Lytechinus pictus: one gene and its partners. Each later gene encodes a partner of the first gene's protein in a complex. Links are inferred from orthologs where the notes say so. Each region holds a gene or a part of one and is shown in the gene's direction. Other genes may lie near its edges.

Region 1 (7,818 bases):
GCATCTCAAGTGATTCCAGCGTTCAGATATCATCTTGCTGATGTATTAGAGTTCGACAAATATGTATATTTGAACGACATAAATGTTGAACAGATAGATGACTTTATTCACATGCTGAAGGAGCAAGCATCATTGATGAGGTCATCCAGTGAATCTTCGGCAATGACGGGGGCTGAGGAGGAGATGGAGGAGGATCAGGAGCTAGAGGAGGAGCAGGAGCAGCAGCAGCAACTAGAGGAGGATAAGGGAGCGGAGGATGAGCAGAAGGAGGAGGATAAGGGACAGGAGGAGGAGCATCAGCAGAAGGAGGAGGAAAGGGAGAGGAGGAACAGCAGCAGCAACAGGAAGGGGAGGATAAGGGAGAGGAGGAGCAGCATCAGCAGGAGGATAAGAGAGAGGAGGAGGAGCAGCAGCAGCAGCAGAAGGAGGATAAGGAGAAGCAGCAGCAGAAGGAGGATAAGGGAGGTGAGGAGGAGGAGAAGCAGCAGAAGGAGGATAAGGAGAAGCAGCAGCAGGAGGAGGATAGGGGAGAGGAGGAGGAGCAGCAGAAGGAGGATAAGGGAGAGGAGGAGGAGCAGGAGCAGCAGAAGGAGGAGGAGGGAGAGGAGGAGCAGCAGCAGAAGGGGGATAAGAGAGAGGAGGAGGAGCAGCAGGAGGATAAGGGAGAGGAGGAGCAGCAGCAGGAGGATAAGGGAGCGGAGGAGGAGCAGCAGCAGGAGGAGGATAAGGAGAAGCAGCAGCAGGCGGAGGATAAGGGAGAGGAGGAGGAGCAGCAGCAGCAGGAGGATAAGGGAGAGGAGGAGCAGCAGCAGCAGAAGGAGGATAAGGGAGAGGATAAGGAGAAGCAGCAGCAAGAGGGGGATAAGGGAGAGGAGGAGCAGCAGCAGCAGGAGGATAAGGGAGAGGAGGAGCAGCAGCAGCAGAAGGAGGATAAGGGAGAGGATAAGGAGAAGCAGCAGCAGGAGGAGGATAAGGGAGAGGGGAAGGAGGAGGAGCTGCAGCAGCAGCAACTGGAAGAGGAGGAGCAGCTGCAGCAGCAGCAGGGGAAAGAGGATAAGGGAGAAGATGATGTGGAGGAGGAGATAAAGGAGCAGCAGCAACAGCAACAGGGGGAGGAGGCAGAGGATAAGAAAGAGGTGGAGGAGCATCAACAGCAGCAGGATAAGGGAGAGGAGGAGGAGGAGCAGCAGCAGGAGGATAAGGGGGAGGAGGAGCAGCAGAAGGAGGATAAGGAGAAGCAGCAGCAAGAGGAGGATAAGGGAGAGGAGGAGCAGCAGCAGCAGCAGAAGGAGGATAAGGGAGAGGATAAGGAGAAACAGCAGCAGGAGGAGGATAAGGGAGAGGGGAAGGAGGAGGAGGAGCAGCAGCAGCAGCAACAACAGGAAGAGGAGGAGCAGCTGCAGCAGCAGCAGCAGGGGAAAGAGGATAAGGGAGAAGATGATGATGAGGAGGAGATAAAGGAGCAGCAGCAGCAGCAACAGGGTGAGGAGGAGGAGGAGGATAAGAAAGAGGTGGAGGAGCAGCAACAGCAGCAGGATAAGAGAGAGGAGGAGGAGCAGCAGCAGCAAAAGGAGGATAAGGAGAAGCAGCAACAGAAGGAGGATAAGGGAGGTGAGGAGGAGGAGAAGCAGCAGAAGGAGGATAAGGATAAGCAGCAGCAGGAGGAGGATAAGGGAGATGAGGAGGAGCAGCAGCAGCAGAAGGAGGATAAGGGAGAGGAGGAGGAGGAGCAGCTGAAGGAGGAGGAGGGAGAGGAGGAGCAGCAGCAGAAGGGGGATAAGGGAGAGGAGGAGGAGGAGGAGGAGCAGCAGGAGGATAAGGGAGAGGAGGAGCAGCAGCAGGAGGATAAGGGAGCGGAGGAGGAGCAGCAGCAGGAGGAGGATAAGGAGAAGCAGCAGCAGAAGGAGGATAAGGGAGGTGAGGAGGAGGAGGAGAAGCAGCAGAAGGAGGATAAGGAGAAGCAGCAGGAGGAGGAGGATAGGGGAGAGGAGAAGCAGCAGCAGCAGAAGGAGGATAAGGGAGAGGAGGAGGAGGAGCAGCAGAAGGAGGAGGAGGGAGAGGAGGAGCAGCAGCAGAAGGGGGATAAGGGAGAGGAGGAGCAGCAGCAGCAGAAGGAGGATAAGGAGAAGCAGCAGCAGCAGAAGGAGGATAAGGAGAAGCAGCAGCAAGAGGAGGATAAAGGAGAGGAGGAGCAGCAGCAGCAGAAGGAGGATAAGGAGAAGCAGCAGCAGGAGGAGGATAAGGGAGAGGGGAAGGAGGAGGAGGAGCAGCAGCAGCAACAGGAAGAGGAGGAGCAGCTGCAGCAGCAGCAGGGGAAAGAGGATAAGGGAGAAGATGATGAGGAGGAGGAGATAAAGGAGCAGCAGCAGCAGCAGCAACAACAGGGTGAGGAGGAGGAGGATAAGAAAGAGGTGGAGGAGCAGCAACAGCAGCAGGATAAGGGAGAGGAAGATGAGGAGGAGGAGCAACAACAGAATAAAAGAGAGGAGGAGAAGGAGGAGCAGCATCAGCAGCAAGAGCAACAGGAGGAGGAGGAGGCGGATGAAGAGGAAGAGAAGGAGGAGGAGGAGGAGGAGGAGGATGATATGAACGACTCATCTGCCGTAGAGGAACAATGTGAAGTGAGAAAGCTGGGAGAGGTACAGGTGAAAGAGGAAGTCAAGCGGGGTCAAACCGAGGAGGTTGAGATGCTGGAAGGGGACAATCCTAAGGGGCAGAATCACTGTGAAGATAAGAAGCATTGCGAACTTCAACTTGTGGAGGAAGATATGGACAGGGATAGAGAAAATGACTTGGTCGAGGAACATCATACTAAGAGGAGGAAAAAATGGTGGCATAAATTACTATGCTGTTTCTGAAACTGTCCTGCAAAAAGCCACTTACGAGGGAAAGGGAGGGGGGATCAAACAGACAATATCAAGACCATCGTATGTTATCGAAAACTTCAGCATTCTGGCAAGAGCAAAATTATTCCCGGGCTCTTATCTTACCCAGCACCAAATCAAGACTGTTGCTATTCAATTATATATTTATGCCTTTATTTATCATGCACAATGTGATAATATTGTTATGTAATTAAATTGAAAATAAATGTAAAGTGGAAATCATTAGCCAATGTGAAAGCCTCTTCTTTTTTTAACTGAGAAGAGACGAAAGAGAGAAGGAAGGAAGGAAGGTGGGAAGGAAGGAAGAAATGAAGGAAGGAAGGAAGAAAGGAAGGAAGGAAGAAATTGAGGAAGGAAGGAAAGAAGGAAGAAAGAAAGAAAATGAATAAAGAAAGAAAAAAAGAGAGAGAGAGAAAGAAAGAAAGAAAGAAAGAAAGAAAGAAAGAAAGAAAGAAAGAAAGAAAGAAAGAAAGAAAGAAAGAAAGAAAGAAAGAAAGAAAGAAAGAAAGAAAGAAAAAAGAAAGAAAGAAAAAGAAGGAAGGAAGAAAGAAAGAACGAAAAAATAATAAGGAAGGGGAAGAGCAGGAAGAGGGCGATAGGAAGGGGATCTCTTTTCCGCCTTAGCTAATTATTCCGATCCCTGACCCAGTATATGCTCTAAAATAGTATATGCAATTCGCATGAATGTATTTTTTTAAATATAGGCCCTATTCTGGTGGAACAATAGAAGAAATAGAATTACAAGTTTAGGGGGTGTATTTAACAAAAACGACGTACACTTCTGAATAGCAAAAGAACAAGATGTCAAAAAGGAGAAAAATAAACATAACCAGAGTAAGAGAATTACCTATCGATAAGATTCCAAATTAGGTAGCATTTTAAATTAATATTCTCTAGAATATTTCATTTTCATTTTGCCAGGTATATTGATGATGTAAATGACAAATAGAATCATAGAGATCGTTATAAATATAATACGTAATAAGACAAAGTGAACAAATGAAACATATTACAAAACTACATAAATTACATTATATGGATCGAACCTATAGATGCAGTGTATGTGTGTAACAAAAATAAAGCTAAAAGCATGAATAATAACATGATTTTTTTTTCTTCTTGATAAGAGGGCTTAGGGGATACTAACATCTATAAGCCGGTGTGATCTAACAATTAAGAGCTGGCAAGAGTACTATATTGTTTTCATAGAATAGGCCCTATTAGCTTTAAGAATAAAATATGAGTTTGATTCGTATGACCAATAGTTAATTATGGAACAATTAAACGGCTTTATTTTAAACACACTTACATAATGGTGAAATGGGCAATCTTCGCTGGCCAGCAATATATTACGAAATTATTTTCCCCAATATACAGTATATCATTTTCACACAATAAAGAGTACCACTTATTGGGGAAATTTTATTAGCCTTTATATAACCTCATCTTATTTCCATTAAGTTTTAAAAGGGGGTATTATTATTATTTTTATTTGTTTGTGTTCTCAGAGTTCAGATCAAAGGTGCAGAGAATCTGAATATAGATTTTTTTCTGTGACATGTTAGTTGCCACATAGAGACTCGAATGCGAATGGGGATGAATAGACTATAGGGATGAATGACGAGTGCTCAATATTGCGTGAAAATTTTGTGTCATTCGAGACGCTGTAACTAAGACTAAGTTCAGGACCATGTTCAACAGTCTGAAATTCGACCAAGTATTTATCTTTGATTGTAAGTAATAATTAAATTACTAATGAATTTGTGGCAGACTTTGTGATGAAAATGGTATACAAATGGGCATGTCAGAAATTTATTTAGATCCCCAGAAAATGTTACTCCCTTCTCTTCTAATGTTCACTAACACAAATGTTTATGAGTGGGACTGGGCTAAAAAAAAAGCAATGGTGTTTCTAAGCAAATACTACCAACAAGCACTAGCAGCTCATCAACCTTGTGACAGACACACTGAGAGTATACCGAGGAGATCATTTGGGTGTGGAAACGACCCACAACAACAACAACATGGTGTTTCTAGACAGCTGGCAGCTGTCTGTTTAATGTTTCGAGGAGTTTTTAAACATTTTTATATTTTTTTTAATTTCTCCTCGATCAGACGGCTCGCTATCGTGCAGCCACCATTAGGGGGTTAACAATGCAAAATCCTCCCGACGGGGCTCATCGATTTTTGTCTTTATTTCATAAAAATATTTAAAATGAACTGTACCAACATGACCAAAGTAAAGATAATAATATTCCGTTTTGGCCTGAATTGCACCAAAAATAAACAAAAAAAGGGGAAAAAACAGTGACTTACTTCGGCTGTCGTGCAACTTCACTTCCCTGTTTTATCCGAACTTAATACATGTATGGCCATTGAGTCCCTGTATATACCGATCGAGCTAGAATTTCGGTCTCTCTATTTGGTGAGTGGAGCCAACGGAGTTCAGCGGAACGACTAACATAACAGAGACCGTAGACTAGTAGATGATGATGATGTAGCTTTAGTTTAGGCCTACAAGTACAACCGAAATCAGGAAGGAACATTTCTGACACTCCGACTCCTTTCTTCAGCTAATTTTAAGAGAGTAATGATTTTAAAGCAATTTCATATAGAGGTCTAGATCTAGATTTAGAATCTGCTTCTGCATGCTATTTGCCCAAATGTAAAATTGTTTTCAATGTTTCTTTAATTTAATTTGAATCTTACGTACATACAAGTAAACTTCATTTCCTGTGACAATCGGTCACTTGAGGAATAAAAAGTGAAACCACATGCTTTAGCAAATGACCAAATATTGGAAAAGACTGTTTTATGTTGTATAAGTATAAAAAGATTAATCTAATAACATTATTATTTTCTTTGATTGTTTTGTTTTTTACTACAGAGCCTGCACTGTGGGATTTAAATGGAAATTTGAATTGTTTGGATGCATCTCGGACTGGAAGAAGTATGGAGGGGACTGCTGTACTCAAAATCTTCTTCCCTGAAAGCTTGTTGAATGCAAGGAGTGGGTTGTGCCTTGGAACCACACACCCGGACAAACGGTGCATGTGTGTTTTAGCCATCGTCCATCCATCTGAAGATGATCATGCTCCAGAACTGGAGATTAATCTCCCTGTCATCGGTATATATGAGAACGTGAGCAGAGACCCGAGACCAGATACAGACGAGAAGAGTCGTCACATCGGCTGCATCGTTGAAATGACACAAAAACATCACAATGAGATTCCGGCTTGTAGGATCGTCCGATCACCTTGGCAACATGTAGGCGGTCCAGGGAACATTCGCATTCTCTTCGTACTGTTCAATGATTATCATATACTAAACGCCCAGTACGTCTGTTTAGACGATAGCAAGCGGGGTGCAGATTCAGCGAAGAATGATTCTCATGGATCCACGCCTTCCATGTTGAAGGAACATAAGAAACCCATAACCCACCAATGTGAGGCAGTGGACTTCTTATTTTCAGCTGTCCGTCACTTTTCTAAGAATGCACTTCCGGCGTCTCCTCCCAATATACCCATGTCATGTTTACAAAGAAACTCCAGTAGTAAAGGATTTCGTATATGCAGTCAAATCTGTGAGATTTGTTTTATCTTGCCAGTCTTATTCATGAGATCTCTGTTTTACTGCTTGGACAGTATCAAGGAAACAAGGTGATTACCTGCAATACACAACATGAAATGGTAGTTGAATCTCTATTTCATTTTTGTATTTTCCTGTTTCTTCTTCGAGATAGTGCTGTGCTGTAGTATAAAAATGTTAGAATTAGTGATGTCACAGTATTTTGTTACAGAAAGTGAAAAAAATCCCTGTTCTATAGTAGGTAGGTATCAGTAAGTTAGAGGCAAGCACTATAAACGTGATCTGAAAAAGCTTGGGCTATTTTGAGCTGTTGACAACCAGTTGTGGGATGAATACAGCTGTGATGTCACATTTTTTTTCTGTTGGCTTGATTTATGATAAGTTCTGCCTCTGTAAACGTCCAACAGGGTGTTGCAAGAAAATATTTTCAATCAATTGCAAATATTATGTTGCAATCAATAGCTGTTGCAATTTTAAAATTAATAGATCAATTTCAACTGTAGCAAATTGTTTCAAGAAGCAGTTTAGCAATCAATCACAAATCTACAATTAATTACAAGACATATGATTGATTTAGGGACCAACAATAGACTTGCAATCAATCACAAGTTTCTTGCAACGCCCCACAAGATTGCTTGTCATGTTTTTGATAATTGCCATTTTCTTCAGGGTACATGTAACCTGCCTTATATTTGCCTAGTTAATATTTTTGAAATTCATTTTAGAACACACATGTGTGGTCATAACTTTTTCAGATAACATGCTTGGTATATTATAATGATAATGTACAGACGGTAAAGATGATAAAGATTTGCTTACAAAAGGAATCACTTTGGTCACTTATTCCACATGATAGTAAGTAAGATATAGTAAGAAAGGGGGGGGGGGGACAAAAATGAAAAAGTGAAAAAGTCAAAGTCGTAAACATTCATGTATAATATCAAGTTACTGAGTACAAGTTTAATAAAAATAATTGAAAGGAACGTTTACTGTAAAACAGAAAGTTGATTCTTAAGATGGTTTGGAATAGTACTCCAAAGATGAGGACCGCTATAAAATACAGTATTCTTTGAAAAATTAGTTCTGACTTAAGGAATATGGTATTCTACAGCATCGCGTGTAGTATACTTATGTACATTACAATTAAGGACAAATTTAGATGCTATCAGAGTAGGTAAAATGCCTTTAGACAACATAAACATAAATATGGCAACATTCAATTTATTTGTCATATTTGTCAGCTTAGAAAATATTGGCAAGGAGTGGGCATTATACGGTGAATTAGATAAAATTCGTACAGCTTTTTAGTCATAAAATAATCATGATTATTTGACCAAGCAATATT
Region 2 (7,985 bases), on another chromosome or scaffold:
GACATTTGATGCCAATAAATTTGTAGGATCTTAGAGTCCACATATCCACTGACTGATTCTCATAACATAATGACAGTATACAGTGCTCACAGAAAATCTAAAATGGTGCTCTTGCTTGCAATATATTAGAGCTGTCCTTAACTCCTTTCAACTGTTTTATTGAAATAACTGATGTGACTAAGAGGCAATTTATATGATATCAAAGATGATTATCCTTTGATGCCATCTTTTTATATTGGGACCTTTGATATTGCTCCCGAATGGTTAAAATAAATGAATTTTCTGCCAATGTCATTCAGGGATCATGATGATTGATTGTAATCAATTAAAATAAGAGGGGGACAGGTATAATAATCAAGAGAGCACAGAGTATGGGGAATGGAGGAAGTGAGAGTTAGAAAAGGATAAGAGACAGAGAGAGAGAAAGAGAAGAGAGAAGAGAGAGGGTGAAAGAGAAACAGCCAAAGAGACAAATAGAGGGAGAGAGAGAGAGAGGAGGTATATAAAGGGGGAGATACAGGAACTGAGAGAAGAGATGTACAGAGAAACAGAGAGATGAAGGGACAAAAGCAGAGAGGCAGAGACAGCAGAGAGAGAGAGAGAAGTGGCAGAGATGAGGGGGTGACAGTGAGATGGTGGAGAAACCACTTGTAATACATATTGCAATAATGTAAATATGCCATCAACCTAGCTACAAAGAATACCATAATGATTGAACCCCTAAGGGAAGTTAATGCTGTTTGATTTAAACACATTTTTTTCATATCACCCATGTTCAAACACAAATACTAGATTTTAAATGGCTATTACACTTTGTTGGGCTGTATATTAATATCTTTTATTGAAACAAGGGTTTGATGATTGATTTGAAAACAAGAACTCTATGAATCATGAATCATAGTTTATTTGTTGCTAAACCCTAAATTGGAGATCATAAAATGGTAAGGGAGAATGGCCATTATGGGCCTGTAACACAAAGCTCAACAATCATTGCAGAACAATGTCTTTATGATTGTGTGCATTGACAACAATGTACAATCTATAAATAAAAATCAAGGGTACAATCAATCGCTAACATTAATATTGAAACGATTGTAAACAGCAGGTTAGATACAGGATAATGTTAGTTCCTTGTGGTACTTTATTCTGGCAATATAATGAGTTTGCAGAACAACAATTAGATGATCATTGTGACCTAATGGTGATATAGGCAGGGTTTGGCTCAATTACAAAGTAATTGATGAATTACGTAATTAATTACATTTTTGGAGCAATTTAATTTGTAGAGTAATTTGTAATTGAAATTTTTTAGGAGAACGTAATTGTAATTGAAAAATTGTAATTGACTCAAATTACTGTCAATTACTTTTAATTACATTCAATTACATTATAACTTAATTTATTATTCAATTTACTCTGGATTGCTTATTTCTCTTTTCCCTTAGCTATATAGTGCTCTCTTGCATGAAACTGTATCCTTTCCCATGATAGGGAGGAAAGAGGAGATGCTATTGCTATAAAGAAGTGCACAAAATGGGTGGCGCTACATACAAAATATGAATTGATCTGATTTATGACTTATAGAAAGTAATTGAATTGTAATTGTAAATTTAGCATATCTTCAATTACGAAATTGCAATTGTAATTGAAGAAAGTAATTGAGCCCAACCCTGGATATAGGTGATTACTTACTAATCATGAATATGATGATGATGACGACGATGATGATGATCAGATGACAATGGTGGCAATGATCAGATAACAAAGGTGGTAAGAATTGTATGACAATGGAGGTTACAATGATGATGAAAAGAACAAACTCCAGGAACAACAAAACCCTAGAATTAAATTAAATTGACCTAGAAAACGTAAGGTAAACCTCACCAAATGATAGATTTATTATGAAAATTGTGGGGGTTTGGCAAAGGTTGATATGAAATTCTTACCAATTCTTTGATAGCTTCTGATACTCCGTCAATCATTGTAATATCATTATCTCTGAAGCCAAATTCTTCACTCTTCATCCGTTCAGCTATCAAAGTAAGCAAAAAGCATAACACAATAAATTAAAAAGATACATCTACCTAGAGATCAAATACATGTCAGTTATCATGGCTGTCTTCCATCAACACTCTGGGTCCAATCATCACATAAACTGCCATCTTGCAAATCTCTGTCACCATTCCCATATGGCAGCTACAAGTTTAACTCAAACCTCGCATTGCCATTAGTATTTAAGCTTCTTGCTCTTGGCCAATAATCTTTGGAAAATTTACCACAAATTAGAGAAAGGTGTTTTTATATTAAAATCGTCATCCATGTACTTTTTATCACTTGTAAATAATGTGCTCCCCGATCCCCAGTCTTGTCTTCAGATGGCTACGTAAACATTGGCAAGTTTTTCCCCCGTCTTCTCAAAATATAATTCTTGGTGGTTTTTTTTAATGAATATTTGCTTAAAAATGAAATCAACATTCTTTGAATGTCGGAAATGAAGTTCTACATGTATCCCATGCATAATTTAGGGCTAGATCTTTTACAGGGAAGGTAGAAATCTTCGGGGCGAAAATTGCAACGTTGACCGCAGTATACGCACATGAATGGGGCACAATCCCTGGCTCTGTGGAGAATAAGCACACGTTAGTGATTTTTTCTCTCTAGGAGCCTCCTGGTGGAGGTGGGGGAGTATGATGGTTGTCCCCAAGTCTGCACACCTAAGAGTTGAGTTAAGATTTAACATGAACTTCTTTTTATTTCACAAAATCTTTAGGTTGATAACGTTCCTTATATTATTATGAGGAAGTGTGCCAAAAATCTCATAAAAATTTGAAAGAAATATATGATTTTCTCGGGAAAAACCTCAGTCAATCATTTTCAGATTCAACAAAAAAATGGTGCCCCATGTCTGCGCACCCATTCACTTTGCATGGGATCCAGGGATTTTGATGACAACAGCTGCATTTTGAGGCCGTCACATGAAATTACCATTGAAATCAAATGCCCAAAGTTCATTATTTTTCCACTATTTTGAGTCGTATTTTTTAATGAATGTCTGTCTATGTATTGCATTTGCATATGTATAGCTTGTGTTTGTTGCGTATCTTCTTTTACTAGAAATAGAATCGCGCAGGTATGCGTATGTGCAGACAAAGGGGGACTGCACAGACTTGGGGGAACCTGTCATACCAGAAAAGAAAGGGAAGTACAAAAAAGAGGTGAGAAATAATAATGATTATGAAAATAAAATGAAAATAGATAAATGATTTAGCATGTTTAGTAACATCTTACTGATCTTAGTATTGTATCGCGTTTTTTCCTGAACGTTATATAAACATGTTTTCTTTACCATACATGATTTCTTTTAAAAAAATTTGTTTTCATGTTGTTTATCTTATGATAAAGCATGAGGGGTCAGAGAGATTGCCGGCCATTTCGATATTTCAAGTTTGGTTGAATAAAAAATGGAAAAGGTGTGGGGAAAAGAGGGAGAAAATGTGAGAAAATAAAAGAAAACACATTTTTTTTAAATATTATATATGAGGCCCCTTATGGGCCTAAATTACCCCGGAGAAGTTAAAATGACATCCGTTTTGCCATGAAATTAATGACAGCCCCCATAAAAATAACTTGGCGCCATCCCAGATAAAATGCATCAGAGTGCAATCGAATGACCCCCAAAAATGTTTAAATGTGATATGTCAGTGTGGCTTGCCGTAAACGCATTTTCTCTCAATGCTGACGGTGGCGGGCGGTGTGCAAAGTCGATCATGCCTACGTAGGACATGTCTGGAGGTGTCTTTCTAAGGTCAAGGACCATTCTTCGTATCGCCCAAATCGGCTTTGTGAAACAGTTGAGCGATATCTCGTTCTTACTCTTAGTTCTTACGTAGAACGGTTCTACGAAAGACCCTTTCATGCAACAGGCCTGAGGGAGCTCTGGCCCGGAGCTCCCTGGGTTAGGCATGACCTAGAACAGTCAAAAGCTTCGGTCTCTGTTATGTTGGTTGTTCCGCTGAACTCCGTTGGCTCCACTCACCAAAATACAGAGACCGAAGACGAAGTTCTAGCTCGATCTGTACAGGGGACTCAATGGCCATATGTTTATGTATTACTATTAAGTTCGGATAAAACAGGAAAGTGAAGTTGCACGACAGCCAAAGTCAATGTTTTTTCCCCCGTTTTTGTGCATTTCAGGCCAAAACGGAATAATTAATCAATCATCATCTTTATTTTGGTAGGTCTAGTTAAGTTAGGCCTAGGGCTAGGCCTACAGTTCTTATCTTATTCTAGGCCTAGCCCTAGGGCTAGGCCCTATATTTTTATGAAATAAAGAAAAAAATCGATGAGCCCCGTCGGGGGGATTTTGCATTGCATTGTTAACCCCCTAATGGTGGCTGCACGATAGCGAGCCGTCTGTGTACGAGGAGAAATTAAAAAAAAAAATTAAATGTAAATAAAAAAAACTCCTCGAAACAGACGGCTGCCAGCTGTCTAGGCATGACCGGGCCCGGCCGCCAGAGCTTCGGGGTGTGTGTACGTGAATTCCCGGTATGGTACCGGGTTCCATTCGATGGTACGATACGGCGTAGGCTATAGCCTATAGTATAACCGCAGGGGCCGGGCCGGGCAATAAATAAAAACCCATCAAACCCAAATGTAATCCAAATTAAATAATAACCTAATTCTTGAAGACGCTGGAGTGCAGCATTCACTCCTGGCATTTCCGTGCTGGCAGACATTTTGGCCAAATTTCTCTGGATCCTGTTTTAAAAAAACCGTGTTGGACTTGGACTTTGGAGTACGGTAGGTCGCGAAGAGTTTCCCGTTGCCTGGGGTGCAAGTAAACAACTACAGAGGGCAGCATAGCGGAAGTATTTTGTTCAGTCCCATCCCACGTACTGATATCTGTGTTTATAAAATAGCTGTATTATTTCAAGCATCGCGATTGGTCAATACGCGTCACATGACATCCAACTTTTTTTGTGCACTGCACGGTAGTGCAAAAGGTGTGCAACGAAAATTGACATTGCACGCTCGAGCAAACCAGTGCGGTAGAAGTCCAACAAAACTGTACTGTAACTTTTAAAAAAATTGTTTCTGTGTTGCTATTTTATAAAACAAATAATGCACTTGCTCTGTCGTGCGTAAAAGTAAATGCAGAGAAAGCTCGGTTTCTTCAGATGGAGCACACTGGGCACTCGCCGCAAGCGGCTCGTGCACAGTGCGACTCCTATCTAAAGAAACCTCGCGTGCTCTGCATTTCCACTAACGCACTCGGCTGCATGCATTATTTGTATAAAATAAGACAGACGACTTGCATATACATTCACATACGAAGTTAGTGCTGGCTTCAAATTTGTCTAGATCTAAATTCTAAGTTAGATCAAATTGTGTTTCATCCGACGTCAATTTGCGGTGATGACGGCCCTTTAACATAATGATGGATACAGATTTGAAGAATGATTTCTACCATGCCCAAAATGTGAAGGAGGATGTGCAATTATTAGGCCAGGGCTTGTTGAGGAAAGGCCAAGGACATGAAGGAGGTGTGAAATGGAAAGATGACCAGCTTGTCTGTGAAATATCTGTGACTGCAAAACAGTCAAAACCAAGTTGTCATATAGGGGGTCTATTGCATATTTTCTTCTTTATGTCAGCAGTAGGACTCACGGTTTTGGTGAGTATATTAAGACAGGGCTTGTTTATTGTTGAATAAAATGTTTATATTTTAATTTTTATGAACGCAAAAATGAAAGTAAATCGAGGCGGCTCTGTCATGTCTGTTAATGGTTAAATAAAAAGATGAAATATAGTCATAATTTGTTTAAAAAGAATCACCATGCATTTGAATGTGATTTGCATGATGATAATCTAAATTATCTAGCTCTTTCTACATCACTAATTTAGTAACAGCCTATGGCTATGTCCCCTCCAGCTCCCCCTAAATTAAAGTGATGTATTAACTTTGTTGGTAAAAGTTGTGATTAATTGAATGTGAAATAGATTCTACAATGTAATATGTGTACGTCGTATGAAACATTTCATAAATGAAATGAAAAATGGAAAGTAAAATGAAAATGATGAAGTTAGGTGCAAAATATGGTCAGCCGAAATGTAGGGTCTTGTCTTTCTACTTCCATGGTCTTGTTCACTTTCCAAATTTCCTGGTTTCGGGATCCGGGTCGCTCTTGGCATTGTCACTCATCAGCCTCTATCGCTTTTGTTGAAGCTTTCATTTTGATTATGAAACACCGAAATTTTGTCGCAAATAGAAACTTTACTGAAATGACAGTGTTTGAGACTAATAATACCTTTAGCCTATATTGTGAGTCAAATTTGGAAAGCTTGATGAGAAGATCATGTTTAGTTAAATAGATATGATTACTGTATAGAATGAATAATTTCCATGGAATGATTTTCATGAATGTTATGATTTATTAAATCTTTTACCCAAATAAGATTATTTTAAATCCAATTTTCTTTTACAGTTCTGGAATGCAGTTCTCGCTATCATGATTAGTGTTCTGTTCTTTCTGTACATTCATTCTTCAGTTTCAAAAGGTAAAACTAACAAGTCCTTGACCTTACATGTGATGATTTTTTTCTAAAAGTAACAGTTCATTGATGTGGGGAGCTGAATGACAAAGTAAAACTTAAGAAGTAATAAAACTGGTGAATCATAAATAGAGTGATAAAAGCTACAACTAAAGAGCAGCAAACAATGCAAGAACTCAGAAGACAAAATAAAATGGATTGAAATTAGAATTCGGAGAAGTTATGTGTGTTGGTGTGTAGGCCTAATAGGAAAGGACTGAGGGAGACATGAGAAGAACCTGCATACAACATAGGGTAATCAGATAAATTGTACCAATAATACCTCATGAAATCTGAACTGAGGTGATACAGAAATGAACAGAACTATATATTTTACCAGACTGAATGGATTAAAATCAAACAAAATGAAACATACATAAAATTACCAATTATAATACATTGTGAATATTTTTTTGGTTTCGATTCTCAATTTTTACTGTATTTTTAATTTTTTTATTTCTGTAATCTTCATTAGAAATAACATTTTAATTTAATTCCATATTTGTAAACTCTAGGCCTATTTTTTAAGATCATTTTTCTAGAGTGTTTAAGTACACTTTGTTCTTGATAATCTCATTTTGTAATCCTCACTCATTGAATTGACTATCTTTTGAATATTTTGATGTACTGTATTGTTTCCACCTTGATTTGTAGAAACACTGCTTCTGATATCTTCCCTTGGGTTGCAAATATCTTCGGAGTATGTCACAGGACGCAGAGTCACCCAGTTTATTCCTTTCAGGGCAGTTCAAGACATTGTTATCCATGAAGCTGTAACAATGGTGAGTGATTTCTTATTTATCACTTGAGTGTTTTTAAAGCCAGGCTGACTTGAGAATCGATGGACAGTGTTATATCACTTAAACATCATCAGCGATTTCCCTCCTACCAAGGGTTACTGACTCTTGTGCCATGATAACAATCCCTCCTTATAAAGTGTTGTGTAACCTGTGCAATTAATCATTTTGATAGTTTTGCATTTGTACAGCAATGCAGGACTATGTCTGTGGTCCCAAGAAGACTTAGGCAGACTCACCTATCTTTACATTGTATGTCAAGTGGTAACTTTCTTCAAATTGCAAGTGAAAAATACTGCCCAAGTTCAGGTTTTATTTCCAAGATAACAAATAAAAAGAGACATGAAGTATTACAGTTTTTCAGGCACAGATCCAGGAGGGGGGGTGGCAGCAGCTGCGGGCGCACCCCGTAAAATTTGAAAATACAATGGTGGACCCCATACAATTCCTTCATTGTGCACCCTGTACAATGGAACAAGGACCTTTTGTGTTTTTTGTGTGTTTTTTTTGCTTTTCGGACAAATTTGCGTCCCATAATAGTCTGACTGTAGCCGGTCCGCGCCTGTAGTTGTTATTTGTTTATTTAATATTTGA
Region 3 (8,038 bases), on another chromosome or scaffold:
GTTCGTCCGATCGTCAAAATGGAAATTTAGATTGCCGTATAATCACGATTGTGCCTGCCCCAAACTGCTACATTGAAACCAAGTCATTATTGTAAATGTTGGAAATGTAAATAAACGAAATGAAATGAAATGAACATGATATATCTATACAGCTCCAAACCGCAACAAAGAGCAACCCAAATGCAGCTTAATATTGAATAAAGATAGCCTACATAGGCTATTAGCTCGCTAAGCTATCTTCTTTAGACATGAAAATGTTTTTAGAGATATATATATACATATACATATATATATATATATATATATATATATATATATATATTGTAAAGAAATGGATGAAGAGAACAATGGTAGGCGTAGCTTAAATCAAGGTTCCCCAGAGCTATCTACCCTTTGGAAAAATTGGTGATGCCGAAAAAATGTCTCTGCCGGGAATCGAACCCGTGTACTGTATCAAAGCAATAGCTTTGATCCAGCTGAAGCATGGCGGCTTGTCATTGCTCGAAACCCACCTTCACCCGACAAAGGAAATTATAATTGGTATAGTGTCGAAAATCTGTCTATCTGACGGTCAGTCGGATCGGGGTCGCCCTAGCCACTAACCCGTCTCTGTGGTCTAGTGGTTAAGGCACCGGCGTTCAAAGCTGGGGGCCCGGGTTCGATTCCCGGCAGAGACATTTTTTCGGCATCACCAATTTTTCCAAAGGGTAGATAGCTCTGGGGAACCTTGATTTAAGCTACGCCTACCATTGTTCTCTTCATCCATTTCTTTACAATATTTAAATAAAAGAGTTGCCAAAGCTGTTGTACATGTATAACTTTACACATTTATATATATATATATATATATATATATATATATATATATATATATATATATATATATAGGCGTAAATAAATCAAGCATTAACGCTAGACGTAGCTTCCAAGTATCTCTTTTATTGCGAGCTTTCGGCCAGTGGGGCCTTCATCAGGCCTATAATGCATTGAAACAAACAAAATAGAACAAAACCATACAAATAAAATCGTAATAACAACAAAGTAAATAATGTGTAACAAAGGGTACAGAACAGAAGGATTACACTAAGATAAAAAAAAAAAAAAAATATATATATATATATATATATATATATATATAAAATCAAAGTGGGGGCTTACCATGCAAACAATCACAATCATATGGTAATTTTTACGTTTTTGTACACGATTTTGGAAAAAAAGGAGGGGGGCTGAAGCCCCCCCCCCCCCGGCTTCCGCGGCCCCTGATATGTATGTATATATAATTATCCCAGTCCTGAACTTGTGAATTGAACACAAAAAATACAAATCATATATTTAAACAGCACATTTTCCATAATTGAAGATGGGATCGTGAGACTGCTGACATGCATGTTTTAGCTTATGATATCATAATTTATAACGATCTTAGAATTATCTTTTTATCGATCACCATGCATAGGAATATTGTTTTCATTTATAAAGAAATAATTGCTCTGATCTGTTTAAAATGGGTTTTTGTTTGAAGACGTGACACCGTAAGATAGTAAGGGTGTGTACAATATGTCGGTTTCCAAATTCAAACGGCAGAATGAATCATGATTGAAAAAGTAATTACAAAACGCGGATATAGTGAGAAAACAAAGGGTGTGTTCGATGTTTCCTCCATCCCCGTTTATAAAAGTAAACGTCTTTCAAATCACGATTCAGTGGAAAATTTAAACGTTGAAAAGGACTTTGTGTTTGTAAACGCGATCAGCTCAGATTTTATGACCTTCGGCAATACGAATGCGATATTGAACACAGTTGAGTTTTGAAACGCCATTAAATTTGCTCTCGCAGTGGAAGCCTACACAAGCAGGTGCCAGAATTGACCTTTCTTGTGATGATGCTGGGTCAAACTGCGCTAACGAAAGCGGGAAATTTCTTAAAGACGATCGACAATTCAGCTTTATATTTTTGACACTAAACAGTCAGGGGCGTAACAGGGGTTGGTGGCCAGGTGGGGGGGGGGGGGGGGGGGGGGGGGCAAGAGCCAAAAATTTCCCGGTCATATCATGGAACAGGCATGAGGCAAAAATTTTGAGGGGGTGATATGGTGTATCGGGCAAAAAATAAAAATGCGAGCGAGCGAAATTTTGACATTTTTATAACAAAAATCAAATTTTGTGATAGATATTTTACATAATGTTAAAAAAGATAATATCATATTTCTCCCTTCTCCCTTTTTTGTACGCCACGGTGAATAGGAATTTTGTTATGATTGTGCGCATCAGGGCGAAGCTCTATATGCTCAAAGGGGGCCCAGTATGGCGCGTGTGGCAATTATAGTAGCTTAATATATTAAAGTACCGAGCGAGCGAGATAAAAAAAAAATCACCTTTTCATGAGAATCTAACACTAGATTTTGACGTGATATTCAGAAAAATATAATACACTTTTCCTTTGCTTTTCTGTCTTTCCTCCCTTTTTGCTGTTTGTTTTGGTTGTAGAACTTTTGGGGGCCATGGTCCAAACTCATCCATACAACAGAGCAACTACGTGGGTGGGATCCGGGGCGGAGACCCGGAACCTCTTGATATTAAAGCCATTTTAAACCTTACAGATGGCCACTAATTTTAATCATATTGCGTGTTTATCTATATAGCTTTCACACAACACATAAATTCAATGCAGTTGCGTAAATATTTTGAGGGGACACACCATAGCAAATGTGGGAAAATTTGTACAGTCGCCAGCGAGCGAAGCGAGCCAGAAAGAAAAATGGCTTTTATTTGAAATGAAATTCTAATTATGTGATAGATTTTTACATCATAGCAAATATCATGTCGTATATTTTTTTTCATTCGTCTCATTTCGCTGCCTCCTTTATTTTCTTTTATTTCCCATTGGCTGTGGAACCCCCGGTACGCCAGTGCTTAAACGCAAAGTTCAATGCAGGAAGGGTTCATACAGGGGCCGTATTGCCCGTATATAATGCTGTATAGAGCCCTTATAAAGGTTACAGGTTACAGATGAAGAGCCCCCATTGCACGGGATCTTGGACAGAGCCCCCGGTAGCTTTGGAGATTTAGCAAGTTTATGATGATAATTATATCGTCAATCCTCGGCATCCCGGTAGTTTTATCTTGTCCCTTTTCTTTATTTTCCAATTTAGATTTTGGCTCATTCCATTCTACCTCCATTTCCCGCTTTTTATCTTTCACACATGTTCTTCTTTTCTTCTTTTCCTCGTTTTCTTTCCGTTTTCCCTTTTTATTTTTTTTCCTTAGTTTTATTTTCCCTTTCCCTAATTTCCTTTTCCCCTTTCCTTTTCCCCTTTCCCTTTCCTTTCCCCCTGTTCCTCTTTATTTTCACTTCCTTGCCCTTTCCTTATTTCTCCCCTTTTTTGTCTTTTTCCCGTTTGTTTTATTTTCCCGGTGAACTCCACTAGGGGGGGGGGGGGGCAGCTTGCACATCTATTAATATTTAACTTGTCAGAATTGAATAACAATATCCCACACAAGCTAGTACTAGTAGCCTACTTGATTGAATGTAGAAGAAATAATTGGGAGCTTCAAGGCCTAATGATATATTTTTGTAACAACATACCAACCAAATTTTCCGGAGATACTCACCCGTACTCACCACCTTCCCAGAAGGAAAAACCAGTTCCACTGGACCAGTTAGACCAGTAGAATTTTAACTGGTAACTCTGGAAATTGGAACATCGGTTTACTGGTCTAACTGGTCATACTGGTCATACTGGTCCAGTTAAAAATTAAACTGGTCTTGAATTACTGGAAGTTTATACTGGTCTTGTTTCTGGTGATTGTTACTGGTCTTCATACTGGTATCCAATTCAAGCTGGTCTTTATTGGTATTTTCTACTGGTCTGACTGGTCCTCGAACTGGTCGAACTGGTCTTCGTACTGGTCTTACTGGATCAATTTATTACATGCATTTGGTTTGTTATATACCCTGGTCAGTGAAATGTGATGGAAAAGATGGTTAGTAAATTAATCTTTCTGCTGATATATGAAATTACACATTTTCATTGTGAATTAGTTCACACACTTTTTAAGAAAGTTTTTAAACAACAAAGAGTGCTATTGCAAGGATATTCCATTCTAAATCCTGATTTTTCTGTTAAAAATAGGAAATATGCAAATGAGGTAAACCATGTGATCAGCATCATCAGAATTACTGGTATTACTGGTCTTGACCAGTTCAATTTCAAACAATGCATTACTTTAGACCAGTTGACTATATGACGGGAATATATCTTGCTTTGATCTTAATCATAATTAAAGCCAAAAGGAAATAATTATTCTAATGATAATGTTAATACTTGATAAGTATGATAATATTAATAATAATTACAATATCAATAACAATGATAACAGTATTAAGAATGATAACAATGATCATAATAATAATAATAATGATAATGATAATTATAAGAATGATGATAACAATGATAAATGATAACGATAATAACTTTCTCTGAATTGCAAGATTCATTTTCCATAATTCGTCAAATGATCTAACTTGAAATAAAGTCATTTATTGGACCAGTAACACCAGTTTGATGAAAAACAATTAAACTGGTATTACTACTTTGCTTCAACTGGAATGCAATTGTTTGAACTGGTCTCCAGTTGATTCTTACTGGTCCAGTTAAAAATCAACTGGTCCAGTAAACATATACTGAAAACCAGTAAAAATCTACTGGAAACCATTTATTGGACCAGTAACACCAGTTTGATGAAAAACAATTTAACTGGTATTACTACTTTGTTTCAACTGGAATGCAATTGTTGGAACTGGTCTCCAGTTGATTTTTACTGGTCCAGTTAAAAATCAACTGGCCCAGTAAAAATATACTGGAAACCAGTAAAATTATACTGGAAACCAGTAAAAATTCTTACTGGTCTTACTGGTTTTTCCTTCTGGGTTATATTTTATTTATATTTTTGTCAAGAAAGGTCGCATTTTATTTCGATTTTTTTCCCCCTGAATGTTTTCTCGCTGAGGAGACCATAGCATATGGACGGGAGGCCGAGTATGCCGACCGAAAGAGCTGGACTATTTTTCACGTTGTAAATCACTGTCTGCGGTAAGTATGTACTGTGAAAGTAGGTATAGAGAGTTGAAATGTTTCACAATTTGGATGTAATGTAGGTTTAGATTAGAATAGATTAAAAATTCCAATAACTACCACCGCGCAGACCCTACTCAACTGTGATCGCGCAATTGCAATTCAGGCCCACGCTCGAGCAGGGCAGCTTTGCTGAGGCCCCCAGGGATTAGGCCAAGTTGGCACGCGGCTAACCCAGAGAGCTCCAGCCCGCGTAGCGGGCTGGAGCCCAGACGCGCAGTGTACAAACGGGCATTCAGGTGAGAGTACCGTGAAGTTTGGTCAATATCATTTACATAATACATAATTTAAACAGAAATTAAGCACTTACCACGATTGTATGGATGATAGTCTAACGAGTGGCAGTTTCCTGACATCGAGGCACAGACTGGAACCTCAAAAAACGATCAGTTCTGTCGCGGTAGCTCTCCTCTTTCAGAATTCAACACAAAATGGCCGATCGAGACCGAGGCTAGTATAGCACTAGCGCATATAGACTTTGTCAAATTCGCGCATGCGCCCTACACCCTCTCGAACGGCCATTTTGCTATGAATTTTGAAAGAAGGAGAGCCACCGCGACAGAACTGATCGTTTTTTGAGGTTCCAGTCTGTGCCTCGATGTCAGGAAACTGCCACTCGTTAGACTATCATCCATACAATCGTGGTAAGTGCTTAATTTCTGTTTAAATTATGTATTATGTAAATGATATTGACCAAACTTCACGGTACTCTCACCTGAATGCCCGTTTGTACACTGCGCGTCTGGGCTCCAGCCCGCTACGCGGGCTGGAGCTCTCTGGGTTAGCACGCGGCTAGCGGCTGCGCGGGTCCAGGGCTGGCAAAATTGCACTGACTGTGTGAGGCCTAACTTAGCCTTAGGCTTAGCTCGACCGGCGCAAATGCAGTTTCGCACTTGCAGACTTCCAGCAAATTTTCCTCCCAGTAATTGTTTGCAAATGTCATAGCTGATAGCAATTCTCTCGATCACATTTCCCGGGCCGTATTCTGAAAATTGTCTTAAGTCTAAGTAAGAGAAATAATATTCTTGTATAAGTTAACTTGTATGGTAGTGGATCGTATTACCGAACACTTTTCATGAATTCAATCATATCAAGCACATTATTCTCGTAAAATTCACCAAACTTTCACCATAAATACACAATTACCTACAAAATATAAATATGTAAAATTTTTGCCGAAATCGTTTTTCCTTTTTACGATTTTTGCTTCCAATCGGACCCCTCTTCGCATGTGAAATATTTTGGTCACTTGAAAAAGGTATCGTATTACCGAACGCGTGTTTTCTATGGGAAAAGTTGAGAAAACAACAAAATCACTGATGAGTTATTTTGACCAAATTTTATTGTTTTTAGAATATTAAGAGAAATAAGACTTTGAAAATGAGTTTTTGACCATTTTTCATCATCTTTCTATTCAAGTTCTCTTTGGAAGAATGTTGCGAAATTTTGAATGTATGAATTTTTTTCTGATGCGTATGATGCGCGCGTTCGGTAATACAAGGCCGGTCGGTAATACAATCACTCACTATACTAGTTGTAGCCTATCTTTTTTAGACTAGAGACAGAGTTACAATAAAAATTAAAATCCGTTTTCCGAAAATTGTCTTAACTTTTCTTGTAACTTTCACTGAGCGCGTATGATGTCAGAGATATATTGATGCGTGTATATATAATCGGCGCATATTATGTCTGTGCGCAAGATAAAATATCGAGTTACAACTACAAGGTATTCTGAAAATTCTCTTATCTTTGTGTTCTCTTAACTTCCTTGGAAAATACAATAAAATTTACAAGAGGTGGGGGGCTATTGTAACTTATTGTTGCATGCTATATTTGTCCGTCTGCAATAATTATTTCTTGCTGCATCCCGCAAGAACATCATGTTTTACAAAAGGAGACATTCCAAAGAAATAACGACGGATTGGTAGATTTTTCAGCAATTAAAAATGTGTGTTCGAGACGAAGAATCTTTTCAGAGAAAATATATCTTTGAGAAGAGCTAGCCTGGAGGCTTCTGGGGAGTAAAACTTCATCTACTATACGTAGGCTTACTCCCGCATGAAGCCTGGGCCTGGGGATCATTCCTCTCTGAGGCTAGGATTTCCCACGGTTACAGTAGACAAGGCTCCACATTAACTTTTTTTGGTGGTGGCCCGTTCGGGCCACCAAAACCTTCAAATAATTTTTTTTGGTGGCCCGATATTAAAGTTTGGTGGCCCGAAAAATATAAAGAAAAACATTGAAAATTAATAAATGGGTTTAAATGGTTTTTTAACCACTGTCAAAAAAATGAAAGAAAATAATAAAACGGCAAAAAAAAAGTGCGAGAAAATTCCTTCCCTATATTTGCCAAAATGTTGGAAAAATTCACATTTCATATTAATGAAATGCCTTCCCAAAGTATTTACTTTCTCAAGAGTTGTTTAAGAAGTCATTTATAAACAAGAAAGAAAGTAACTGTCTGTTTATTTTTGGCTAGAAAAGACCGGAAAAGGCACAGCTTCGAAAGAAACCAAGTAACAACATACATACAATTCAAATGAACACGTGGGACTGTGATGTACTCACCTATGTGTTTTTATGTGCATTATTTTCATTTGGAAATCGGTCTTTTTGAGTCAAAAGAGAGGTCATGATTCCTCTTTTAAATGCTTGAAAATAATCAGGATACACCAGATTTTGGCAAAAAGGTCTGTAGAAGGGCTTTTCATTGGTGTAAAATGTGACTTTGACTTGGATTTTCACAGTTCTGTGGAAGATTTCTTAGCTGCAACATTTCGTATTGCAGCTCCCTGAGTCTGAATAGACTGCTGACTCACAGCTGCTTGAAGCATGCAAAGCTCACGCCAGCCGGCCGGCGCGGCCGGCTGGATAAAAGCTACTTAATGCTATAGCGGTAGG

The links. The genes of interacting proteins can lie anywhere in the genome.
Region 2: phosphatidylinositol N-acetylglucosaminyltransferase subunit Q-like (region 1) and phosphatidylinositol N-acetylglucosaminyltransferase subunit H-like share a complex: the UniProt entries of both Homo sapiens proteins name them as parts of the glycosylphosphatidylinositol-N-acetylglucosaminyltransferase (GPI-GnT) complex. The link is inferred for Lytechinus pictus from reciprocal best matches to the Homo sapiens genes PIGQ and PIGH.
Region 3: phosphatidylinositol N-acetylglucosaminyltransferase subunit Q-like (region 1) and phosphatidylinositol N-acetylglucosaminyltransferase subunit C-like share a complex: the UniProt entries of both Homo sapiens proteins name them as parts of the glycosylphosphatidylinositol-N-acetylglucosaminyltransferase (GPI-GnT) complex. The link is inferred for Lytechinus pictus from reciprocal best matches to the Homo sapiens genes PIGQ and PIGC.

What each region holds. Positions count from the first base shown.
Region 1 is NC_087254.1:10,567,076-10,574,893, forward strand, and holds the start of phosphatidylinositol N-acetylglucosaminyltransferase subunit Q-like, read left to right. Parts: upstream 1-4,749; 5' UTR 4,750-4,788; coding exon 4,789-4,912; intron 4,913-5,772; coding exon 5,773-6,544; intron 6,545-7,818. Other genes in the region: trichohyalin-like, read left to right, coding at 286-2,858. UniProt on the Homo sapiens protein: Part of the glycosylphosphatidylinositol-N-acetylglucosaminyltransferase (GPI-GnT) complex that catalyzes the transfer of N-acetylglucosamine from UDP-N-acetylglucosamine to phosphatidylinositol and participates in the first step of GPI biosynthesis.
Region 2 is NC_087251.1:13,833,362-13,841,346, forward strand, and holds the start of phosphatidylinositol N-acetylglucosaminyltransferase subunit H-like, read left to right. Parts: upstream 1-4,958; 5' UTR 4,959-5,070; exon of another isoform or gene 5,071-5,256; intron 5,257-5,309; 5' UTR 5,310-5,437; coding exon 5,438-5,677; intron 5,678-6,488; coding exon 6,489-6,561; intron 6,562-7,248; coding exon 7,249-7,376; intron 7,377-7,985. Other genes in the region: centromere-associated protein E-like, read right to left, coding at 1,947-2,032, 4,679-4,739. UniProt on the Homo sapiens protein: Part of the glycosylphosphatidylinositol-N-acetylglucosaminyltransferase (GPI-GnT) complex that catalyzes the transfer of N-acetylglucosamine from UDP-N-acetylglucosamine to phosphatidylinositol and participates in the first step of GPI biosynthesis.
Region 3 is NC_087259.1:10,793,599-10,801,636, forward strand, and holds the start of phosphatidylinositol N-acetylglucosaminyltransferase subunit C-like, read left to right. Parts: upstream 1-5,011; 5' UTR 5,012-5,095; intron 5,096-8,038. UniProt on the Homo sapiens protein: Part of the glycosylphosphatidylinositol-N-acetylglucosaminyltransferase (GPI-GnT) complex that catalyzes the transfer of N-acetylglucosamine from UDP-N-acetylglucosamine to phosphatidylinositol and participates in the first step of GPI biosynthesis.